3 linked regions of the Callithrix jacchus genome follow. The protein of the gene in region 1 interacts with the protein of each later gene in a pairwise test. Links are inferred from orthologs where the notes say so. Each region holds a gene or a part of one and is shown in the gene's direction. Other genes may lie near its edges. The genes, in order: FLNA, FABP1 and MYOZ1.

Region 1 (3,751 bases):
AGACACAAAGAATGGCTTCTGTTTAGAGTGTGGAGGGGTAGCAGTGCAAAGAAAGGGTTCAAACATAGGCTCTTGAGATGGAGCCAAGCAGCCACTTCCTCTTTCATGCTCCTTTCACCTGGTACAGTGCCTTGAGGGATAGCCTTGGCTGTGAACCCCAGTACAGCTACCTATTGGGCCTGAGCTCAGGCTTCTCATCTAGCAAGTGGCCTCCCTATCGGGGCACACACACTGAATGGAGCGGCTAGAGACGAGACCCTGGACCTGACTGTTGGGAGGTTTCCTCGGGGCAGCACAGGCAGCAAGACAGAGAGGGCAACCAATGCCTTGCCACAGTGTTAAACTGGGGCTGCAGAACTAACTTAGCAGGTGCCACCAGACTCCCTCCCTCCCTGCCTCCTTCCCTCCCTCCCTTCGGGCCTTCCCTGTTTGGAATAGAATTGAAAATAGCAGCCTACTCTTTGCAGGTAGTAAGGAAAAGTATCGTTTTGTAAAACTTTTGTTTCAGGAGGTCACGGTGGCAACTGTAGTTCTTATTCGGGGTCGTGGGCAAGATGTTACACAGCACTGCCTGATGCCGCTTTCCCCAAGGAAGTGACATTTGAGCTGAATCTGAAACTACCAGGAAATGGGCCTGTAGAAAAGGAAGAGAGAGCCTAGCAGTGCCAGGGCGTGGCTGTGGCCACCATGTTCACAGACACTTGGCTCTTTAGCTGCACTCTGCTGCACACCCCCACGCTCTGGGACTGCCCCTGAGCCGTGCTGTTTCTGCTGCCCACCCCAGGCCAGACCTGGCAGGGCCGGATCTGTGGCAGTCGGGTTCATCCCAGGGCTTGGAGCCCTTGGCTGAGGTAGGTACCCAGCAAACACCTGCAACAACCTGTTGCCCCCACCCCAGGGGACACGATCCCGGTGGGGCTGTGATTGTGGGTGGCTCCTTGGAGAAGGTGGCCTTGGTCCTGGGCTTTTCCACCTGGGGTGTGCTTGGCTCCCCCAGACTCAGACATACAGCATCCTTGTGATTGGGCCTAGACGTGGGCCCTGCAGACCCTGCGGGCGCTGGAGGCGACTCCCCGCTAAGTCCCCCCTCCCCCAGGGCCTGGCGGCCCTCAGTGGCGGTGAGCTCATCTAGAGGGGCGGTGTCTCCTGGCAGCGGGTCGCTGGAGCTAAAGGCGCGCCCCCGCACCCTCCCTCCCGCACCCGTCCCAGGCTCCTGGGCAATTTTACCAATTAAGGCTTTCTCGCCAGGCCGGGGCGGGCGCGGGGCGGGCGCGGGGCGGGGGTGCAGCCAACAAGAAGGCGGGCAGCGACGGCGGCCCATTCGCGTGGAGGCGCGCGGCACGCAGCGGACGCCGACGGAACCCCGAGGCGCCTGGCGCGGGCGCGAAAGCGATCCGGGCGCCACCCCGCGGTCACCGGTCACCGGTCACCCTCAGGGACAGCAGGTGAGGTCTCCGCGGCCGGTAGGGTCGCCGCGCTCTTGGTCGGTCGAGGGCGAGATTGGAGAAGGCGGGCAGAGAGGCGGGAGAAGTCAGGCTCCAGCTCGCACCCAGGTCCTGGCCAGGTTCTGCTGGGGTGCGTGAGCCGATGGAGGCGCCTCTGGCATCTGGGAGTGGGTGTCCAGAGAATGTCTCCCCTAGTTGACCCACGAGCCATGTCTGTGCCCACGAGTGTGGGAGCCTGAGGCCATGGGGGTCCCCGAGAGACAGGGTGTCTGGGCACTTGGCAGGAGACTGGCGACTGCATGGGTGCCCATGAACGGACCACTGCATGCCTATCTGAGAGAGAAGGGCCCTGACAACAGGAACTTGTGTGGACTTAGGGTGAGTGGCCACCTAGAAGAACACTTCTTAGCCAGTGTGCCCACTGGGAGGGGGACAGCATGTGCCTTGCTGGATCGAGTCCACAGGGCACCAGCTGCTTTGGGCACAGGGGAGCTGGCTCTGGGGCTGCTGTACTCCATCAGGGCCACGGTGAGGATGAGGCCAGGCTAGGTTCCTTGGCTGGGCCCTAGGCCCTATCACAGGCTGGCTCTGAGCTGGATTCGCACCGCCAGCCAGGATGAGACCAACAATGTCCCCAGATTCCCATGCCACCTGGGGCCAAAGTAGGTGAAAATCCACTGGCAGACCCATTTGTAAGTGGTCCAAACTGCACTGTCAAGGTGGGAGCTTGGGAACGAGCGACCTCACCTGCCGAACCTGGACTTGCCAGCACAGGTTTCTTCTCACCTTGCCAATCCGGCTTCCTTCCCTCCGGCGCCCCCTGGCTACGCAGGCCTGGAAACGGCTCCTTAGGGATCCAACTGAACAGCCTCTGGGCTTGGGCTCTACCTCCCAGTGGGAGAGTCTGCCCTTGGGTCTGAGGGCCAGGGGTAGTGTGGTGGGCGGGGTGTGTCTAGCATCCAAGAATCTACTCCAAATAAGGGAAAATATGAAAGAGCTGGATTTTGGCTTCCCAGGGCTGCCGGATCTGGGGGCTTTGGGATTGGGCGACATCTGGTGGTAATGCTATGTCCTCCTAGGGACAAGTACCCTCTACACGCCCATTCCTTGTTTCCTCTAAATAGGGAAAAGCTAGGGCTGGAAGACAGGACACCCACCTCCTGACACCCTTTCTGCTGCAGTTGACTCCTGGTCACTCTGACTCAGTTTCCTTGAGCTCTGAAGATTAAGGAATGAGCCCAGACAACCCAGCTCAATGGCCCTTAGTGGAGAGTCACTTCTTGATGGAATTCCATGCCTGGGAACTTGCTTTCCAGCGGGACAGGGGGACCGGAAGGACAACTTCAAGTCAGTCTTGAATGGGGCCTGGGAGGGAGGCGTCTGTATGGCATCCCCCTTCCCAGCCCCCCTCCCACCTCCACCCCAGCTCCCAGACGCGGAGGTGCACTTGGTGCAGGTGTGTCTCCAAGTGATCAGGAGAGGGGCCAATTTACAGGGGTTGGCCTTGGTACTGGAAAATGCCATTTGCCCACCCTACCACCACCACTAGTGGGAAAAACCAGTGGGGCCACAGGCAGCCCCGAAGTGAATGTGCTGGGCGGACCACAGCCCCACCACATGTCTTGTGGACACCCAGTTCGACAGGATAGCCAACCATATTTGGGCATGACGTGGTGGCCAACCCAAGGCCTCCTCCTCTCACTGGTCTTTAGCAGATAAATTAATTATTACTAGAATTGAGCAGAAGGAACACAGACCTGCCTTCCTAGAAAAAAAACACATAAAGGAGGAAACATTCCGGAGACAGGATGTACCCAGGACTAAGAGGGAGGGAGTGCAGAGCTGGAGAGGAAGCCATAGGCAGTCTGGCTTCTTCTGACTGAAGAGGTTAGCAGTCAGCGTCCCCAACAGTCCCCTGGCTCCGGTCTCCATCTCAGCACAGCAGCCTCTGCACCATCTCGAGTTATCTACCAGAAAATTTTGGGTGAATAGTCCCCACTGATCTGGGGGACACAATCCCCCAGGCCTCCTCTGCACCTGCCACCACACCTGAAACCCACCCAGCCCCCTCTAGGTCTAGAATGCCATTCCCGTCTGCCCCTTGCCTGGCCACGCTGGGCTCAGGGGTCATTCCGACCGGAGAGGACGCCCCAATTCAGCCCCCACAAGTGCCCCGGGTGAACGGCATCAAGGGTTAGGCGGGCACAGGTAATCTCTACAAGCATTGCACAGCGCCCTCTGCCCGAGCCCACTGGCGTACCCGTTGGCAGGCCCTGGCCCCTTCGAAGGCTGCTTGCTACTGGAGT
Region 2 (2,883 bases), on another chromosome or scaffold:
TTTCTGCCTCTCCAATTAGAACATTACAGGTCAGGATGATTCTAGGAGGAAAATTGTCTTGATGTGCTCATGGTCAAGGGATTTAACCATGGGCCTTTTCCAAATTTTCTTTTTGGAGGCAAAATGTTTAACATTGTCCAGAGTCTTATGCTCCCTGATGTATACCTATGTCATCTCTTCCGGAATGTATAAGGGCTTGGAAGGAGGCCACAATAGGAGAGATTAACATTCCGGAAAGAATAATACATACCTGGTTGGGTATGGTGGCTCACGCCTACAATCCCAGCACTCTGGGAGGCCGAAGTGGGAGGACTGCTTGAGCCTAGGAGGTTAAGACCAGCCTGGGAAACATAACAAGACCCCCACCTCAATTCAAAAAAAAAAAGAAAAGAAGAAGAATACATACCAAAGGAAAATATGTATTCTCTACTGGTCAATATTTTGAATTTTGCCACTAGCTCCCTCCATTAGCTTGGGAGAATTGAGATTTCACTCAATTTGATTTTAGCATTTGTATTTGGGGCCACTTAGGTGTTCCATGCTCATTTCTAGATTACATGCCATAAGACAAAAGAAGTCCTGACATTTTATTTAGTTCTTAAATGCACCTCACTTCTCTTTAAAGCCAGAGAACTGGAAGCTTGGGAGCATAGGAACCAGAGCATTTTGGTTGATATGAGCTGAGACCTGTGCAGAAGAACCAACTTCATTAGCAAGGCTCTTGCCCCCCACCACCTCTTTATCACAGGCTGCCTCTCTGTTTCCTGCAGGCAGTGGTTCAGATGGAAGGTGGCAATAAACTGGTGACAACTTTCAAAAACATCAAGTCTGTGACCGAACTCAACGGCGACATAATCACCAGTGTAAGTTGGTGGTGCTCTGAGCATGTGGCTACCAGTGCTTGAGGGGAGAGGAAAGGTGAAGGACGGGGAGCAGTTCACAAACCCTAATCCCACCTCTCCACCCTCCAGCCCTCAAACTTCTTTCCTGCAGTCAGTATCTGCTATAACTTACTGCAGATCCATAATGTCCCAGGGAGTTTACACACATTGTCACTAATCCCTTCTGCTCAGCACTAACCAACCAGCCACAGAGGCTTCCACCTGCCCTGCATGCCCAGGGTGCTTCACAAATGCCTTTGCCCATTTAGCATTTATAAAAAGAATCCCATTCACGGAGATATTATGGCAGCTTACAGGCCTGGCACAGTCCAGTTATTCAGTCAGCCTTCGTGCCTGGCTGCTCACCACAGCCTATCCCCTATTTGGGGATGAACAGTGCAGTGTTTCTCCTGCAGGTATGTCTCCCTGATTCTTCTTTGCCCCCAATATATGCTTTAGGGAGTCACAAACAACAGAACCCTGCCTCAGGGAGCTGTCATCATTCTGTTCAAACAGAAAAATTCTTAAACTAGATAAAGTGTAAGCATCACCCATCTAATCTGTAGTCTCCAGCTCACCGCCATCACATTCTCAGGAGAGCAGGGGAGCAGGAGATGAGCTGTCCAGTAGTGAGTCTGGCCAATGCCCTTTGATAGGCTCCATCTCACCTAATCCTCCTGTCTCCTTGTGGGAGGCTGGATGAGGGACTCAATAAACAGGTTGACCTGTCCAAGTCATCAGCTAATAAATGATAGACCCAGGGCTTGAACCCATCGAGCAGCAACCATTGCATTGCTGCTGAAGCTAAGGGGCTCCTTTTCACCCTGATGACATGGTAAGTCATTCCAGAAGAATTATTGAGGAGAATTGGCAGGGGCAGAGGGAACATCCTTAAAAAACAAACCTGATGCATCCACTGTTTTTATAAGCTTCACAGCTCTAGGAGGACAATTATGTACTACCCACTGCCTTCCAGGCTGTGTGCCTCATTGTGTCCATGTACATATATCCTTGGTGTTCAACATGTATTCAGTGTATACTAGGTACTTCATGAAACTGAGAAATTGGATTGGGCTGGTTTGGATGGTCTTGCTATAACAGCTGTTGATGTAGAAAAGAATTCAGTAAAAGGCATGAGGACTTTCCAGGTGAGGAGAAGTGACAAAGACTTGGCATAGGATTTTGGAAAAAATTGCCAACCCTTCCTCCTGCCCTACAGAAAACCAGACGAATTTTTGAATTGTTTCATATGCCAACATATCTGGTGCTATTTTTTAAGCTTAATTTTTCTTAACAATACAACATCAGATGAACATTTCATAATTTCTTTTCTGGCTTTCAGACCTTGACATTGGGCGACATTGTCTTCAAGAGAATCAGCAAGAGAATTTAAACAAGTCTGCATTTCATATTATTTTAGTGTGTAAAATTAACATAATAAAGTGAACTTTGTTTTTTTGAAAAAATGTCTTTTCTTTTCTATGGCTTTTCATTAATGGTGCTATTGGTCACCACATTCTCCTAACCATATTTTCATAAATGTTGATAATCCACCTGATCCACACTCCCAGGTCAGGTCCAAAGAGTAATTCCCTAAACACAAAACCCACGCTGCCCACTCATGTGTCCCTGCCAGGACAGCCAGGTGTGGCTAGATTTGCAGGAAGGTCCTGGAATGCCCTTTCCCAGTCAGACACACAGGCGAGGAGCTGGAGCCAGAGGATGTGCAGTGGGCTGGCCTGGAGGCTGTCTCTCTGTGGGGACAGGGAGCAGGAAGACTGGGCAGAAAAGGAGAGCTATGGCAAAAAGGCTTGGCCACAAGCACAGCCACAGTGCCAGCCCACCGGCAGACAGATGCAGAAAGGTCGGCACTGACTCGCCAAATAAACTTTTCCTCCTATAGGAGGCTGAGCAAGGGGCTTAGTGAGAGGTGCCAGAAGGGGACACAGGAGGCTCAGTGGAGGTTCTCTCCATGCTATGGGCAGGGGCAGAGGGTAGAGGA
Region 3 (3,751 bases), on another chromosome or scaffold:
CGAATGGCACAGTCCAAATCCTATGTGGTATGTACTCCCTTTGAAGGAAATCTCAAGTAGAAACCTCAGAGAACAAGGCCCTGGCAGGTCAGAGGCCTACATGTGCTTCTCACGGAGATACTAATGTCTATCCTGCACAGCAGGTTGAACTGAGCATCTCAATAGCAAATGGAGGTTTAAAGGCAGATCCTGGCTACCCGGGAGGCGGAGATTGCAGTGGAGATGGTGCCATTGCACTCTAGCCCAGGCAACAAAAAAAGGCAGATCCAAGTGTTTGTCTTTTCTTAAAACTGCCAGAGTTCAAGAGGAAAGAAGAGAGAGTGAAGCAGATAGAATAATTGTCAAGTCTTCCCCACATCATCCCTGCCTAGGAGGTACTGGGTTTGGTTAATTTGGTCCCTTAACCTGCCAAAATCTAGCCCCCGCAGAGAAAAGACCAACCTATTCAGGAAGTTTAAAAGAGCAGTTCCATTGTGAAGACTTCCCTTCTTGTCCCTAAACATAGTACTTTAAGCCCTCCCTGCCCCAAATACACCCACAGGTCCTTCCACTGTGCCCTGGATTGGCTCTGTATGGCCCTCAGGGCATGTTCCCCAGGCTCGCTCTCTCTGACAGGATTCCTATCCGATACTTGTTGTCTACTTCCTGTCTCCCTCTTATTCTCCTAAGTGCTTCTTTGGATCTCAGGCTCTAGGTGCAATGTGAAGGGGAGTCCCTGGGCAGAGTGATCCCTGGCTCAGAAAGCTCAGTGGGAGAATCCCAAAGGCCTTCTCCCTCCTTCCTGAGCCCCTGGGCAAGGAGGCAGGGATCTTGGTTCCAGGGTCTCAGTACCCCCTGTGCCATTTGAGCTGCTTGCGCTCATCATCTCTATTAATAACCAACCTCCCTCCCCCACTGCCAGTGCTGCCCCCACGCCTGCCCAGCTCATGTTCTCCGGTCACAGCAGCTCAGTCCTCCAAAGCTGTTGGACCCCAGGGAGAGCTGACCACCGCCCGAGCAGCCGGTAAGTCTCCAGCTCTATCGTTAGAGAGGCTGGGGCCCACTCTGTTGACTTCTGTATCTGTGTCTACAATTGTGATTCTTGATCCTGGAGGAGTCTCCCCTCTCATCTATGCTCAGCTCCCAGCTGTCCAGTTCAGGGGAGCCACCGAAAGTTGGAAGGAGAGGGGCCCAGGAGGTTGCGGGGAATGGAGATGTCAGGAGGCACTGGAAGAATGGGAAGGGAGACCCCACTAAGTCAGTAGAGTTGCAGATGCATATTTGTGACAGGGCTCAACAGAGGCTCAACAGCATTTCACTAAGTGCCAATTTCTCTTTAAGAAGGGATAGGAGTCTATCTTATCTCAGCTTGTCCCTTTCCATTGCCAGATCCTATTACTATGTTTCTGCCCACCTCAATTCCCCACTGCTGTGATATTGCTGAATTGATGTGTGTTGGGATTTGAATGCTCCCTACCCTCCCCAATTCCACACCCCTCTCCACTCTGGGGTCTGGGGCGGGAGTGACTGTGGGAGCAGGGCCATGACTTCCCAGGCCATGTTCCAGCTGGCCTGATGAAGGAGCAACAACCTCTCCTTCCTATGGAGAGTGTTTTTGGCTGAATCTCCTCAACCCTGGCAGAACATTTCTCTGTCCTCCTTGGGACTGGGGGAAGACTGAGGAGAGATCAGAGCCTGGAATCACAGCCCCAGTCTGATATCCCAATGCAAATAAAAACTTCAAATTATGCCAAGCTGATGAAACCTGGGTGCATTGCCCTGCCTGTATTATTGTTTTTTGAACACTCTCCACCTCAGTGATGTTCCTAATTCCTGCACCGACTCTATAAAAAACAGCTCACAACAGGTTGGTAGAAGATGGGGGCTGGTGTACATCTGTACTTCCTGTCCTCCATCCCAAGAAAAGAGAAGCCCTAAAGCAGCAGGTTTTCACCTTTTGAGGGAATACATACTTCTTTGAAAATCTGGGTTGGGTGAGATGGCTCACACCTGTAATCTTAGCACTTTGAGAGGTGAGAGGATTGCTTGAGCCCAGAAATTTGAGACCAGCCTAGGCAATATGGCAAAACCCCATCTCTACAAAAAACACAAAAATTGGCTGGGCGTGGTGGCTCACACCTGTAATCCCAGCACTTTGGGAGGCTGAGGTGTGTGGATCACCTGAGGTCAGGAGTTCAAGACCAGCCTGACCAATGGAGAAAGCCCATCTCTACTAAAAATACAAAAAATTAGCTTGGTGTGGTGGTGCGTGCCTGTAATTCCAGCTACTCAGGAGGCTGAAGCAGGAGAATCGCTTGAACCCAGGAGGCAGAGGTTGCAGTGAGCCAAGATCATGCCATTGCACTCCAGCCTGGGCAACAAGAGCAAAACTCCATCTCAAAACAAACCAAAAACTAGCAAGGCATGGTGGTTCACACCTAAACTTGCAGCTCTATGGGAAACTGAGGTTAGAGGATCACCTGAGCCGAGGGAGATTGAGGCTGCAGTGAGTCATGATTGTGCTGTTGCACTCCAGCCTGAATGACAGAGTGAGATCCTATCTCTAAAGAAAAAAAAAAAAATTTATCCCCTCAAGCCGTTAAACCCAGGTTAAGATGTAGTGCTCTCGGCCAGGTGTTGTGGCCTGTAATCCCAGCACTTTGAGAGGTCAGGAGTTTGAGACCAGCCTGGCCAACATGGTGAAACCCCGTCTCTACTGAAAATACAAAAATTAGCTGGACATGGGGGTGGGTGCCTGTAATCCCAGATAGGAGGCTGAGGCAGGAGACTTGTTTGAACCCTGGAGGCTGAGGTTGCAGTGAACTGAGATCGTGACATTGCATTCCAGCCTGGGCAACAGAATGAGACTCCATCTCAAAAAAAAAAGTTAGTGCTCTCCTATAGACACTCACTCTTCCTGGTCCCTGTCTATCCTCCAACTCCTCCTTCCCACCCTATCCAGGCTGAATCCACCTCCACAATGCCGCTCTCAGGAACCCCAGCCCCTAATAAGAAGAGGAAATCCAGCAAGTTGATCATGGAACTCACTGGAGGTAGGACATGTTTGCATCTACCTAGTGTGGGACTTCTTAAAAGCGTCCCTAACCTAAGAGTCCCAGAAATATGTATCTTAGGTTGAGCAGACAAGAGGAATTCCAGTGGTGGGAATATGGATGATGGGGAGTGGGAGCGGGAAGGGTAAGAAGAGTAGGGAGAAAGAAAGAAAAGATTCAATATCTTCAGCTGGGAGCAGTGAAGTGGCTCCCACCTGTAATCCCAGAACTTTGGGAGGCTGAGGGGGCAGACCACGAGGTCAGGAGTTCCAGACTAGCCTGACCAACAAGATGAAACCCTGACTCTACTAAAAATACAAAAAAATTGGCCGGGTACGGTGGCTCACGCCTGTAATCCCAGCACTTTGGGAGCCCGAGGTGGGTGGATCAAGAAATCGAGAACATCCTGGTCAACGTGGTGAAACCCCGTCTCTACTAAAAATACAAAAAATTAGCTGGGCATGGTGGTGCATGCCTGTAATCCCAGCTACTTGGGAGGCTGAGGCAGGTTGCGGTGAGCTGAGATCGCGCCATTGCACTCCAGCCTGGGTAACACGAGCGAAACTCCGTCTCAAAAAAAAAAAAAAAAAATACAAAAAATTAGGCAGGAGAATCGCTTGAACCTGGGGGTGGAGGTTGCTGTGAGCCGAGATTGTGCCACTGCACTCCAGCCTGGGTGACAGAGCGAGACTTCATCTCAAAAAAAAAAAGTCAAGATT

Evidence for each region.
Region 2: the proteins of FLNA (region 1) and FABP1 interact in binary tests that used the Homo sapiens proteins (3 or more experiments, as listed by UniProt). The two-hybrid records come from large-scale screens. The link is inferred for Callithrix jacchus from reciprocal best matches to the Homo sapiens genes FLNA and FABP1.
Region 3: the proteins of FLNA (region 1) and MYOZ1 interact in binary tests that used the Homo sapiens proteins (3 or more experiments, as listed by UniProt). The link is inferred for Callithrix jacchus from reciprocal best matches to the Homo sapiens genes FLNA and MYOZ1.

What each region holds. Positions count from the first base shown.
Region 1 is NC_133524.1:150,165,250-150,169,000, reverse strand, and holds the start of FLNA (filamin-A), read left to right. Parts: upstream 1-1,319; 5' UTR 1,320-1,445; intron 1,446-1,729; 5' UTR 1,730-1,823; intron 1,824-2,569; exon of another isoform or gene 2,570-2,792; intron 2,793-3,751. UniProt on the Homo sapiens protein: Promotes orthogonal branching of actin filaments and links actin filaments to membrane glycoproteins. Anchors various transmembrane proteins to the actin cytoskeleton and serves as a scaffold for a wide range of cytoplasmic signaling proteins.
Region 2 is NC_133515.1:26,008,568-26,011,450, forward strand, and holds the end of FABP1 (fatty acid-binding protein, liver), read left to right. Parts: intron 1-770; coding exon 771-863; intron 864-2,223; coding exon 2,224-2,274; 3' UTR 2,275-2,347; downstream 2,348-2,883.
Region 3 is NC_133513.1:56,489,688-56,493,438, forward strand, and holds the start of MYOZ1 (myozenin-1), read left to right. Parts: upstream 1-938; 5' UTR 939-1,003; intron 1,004-2,941; 5' UTR 2,942-2,959; coding exon 2,960-3,032; intron 3,033-3,751. UniProt on the Homo sapiens protein: Myozenins may serve as intracellular binding proteins involved in linking Z-disk proteins such as alpha-actinin, gamma-filamin, TCAP/telethonin, LDB3/ZASP and localizing calcineurin signaling to the sarcomere.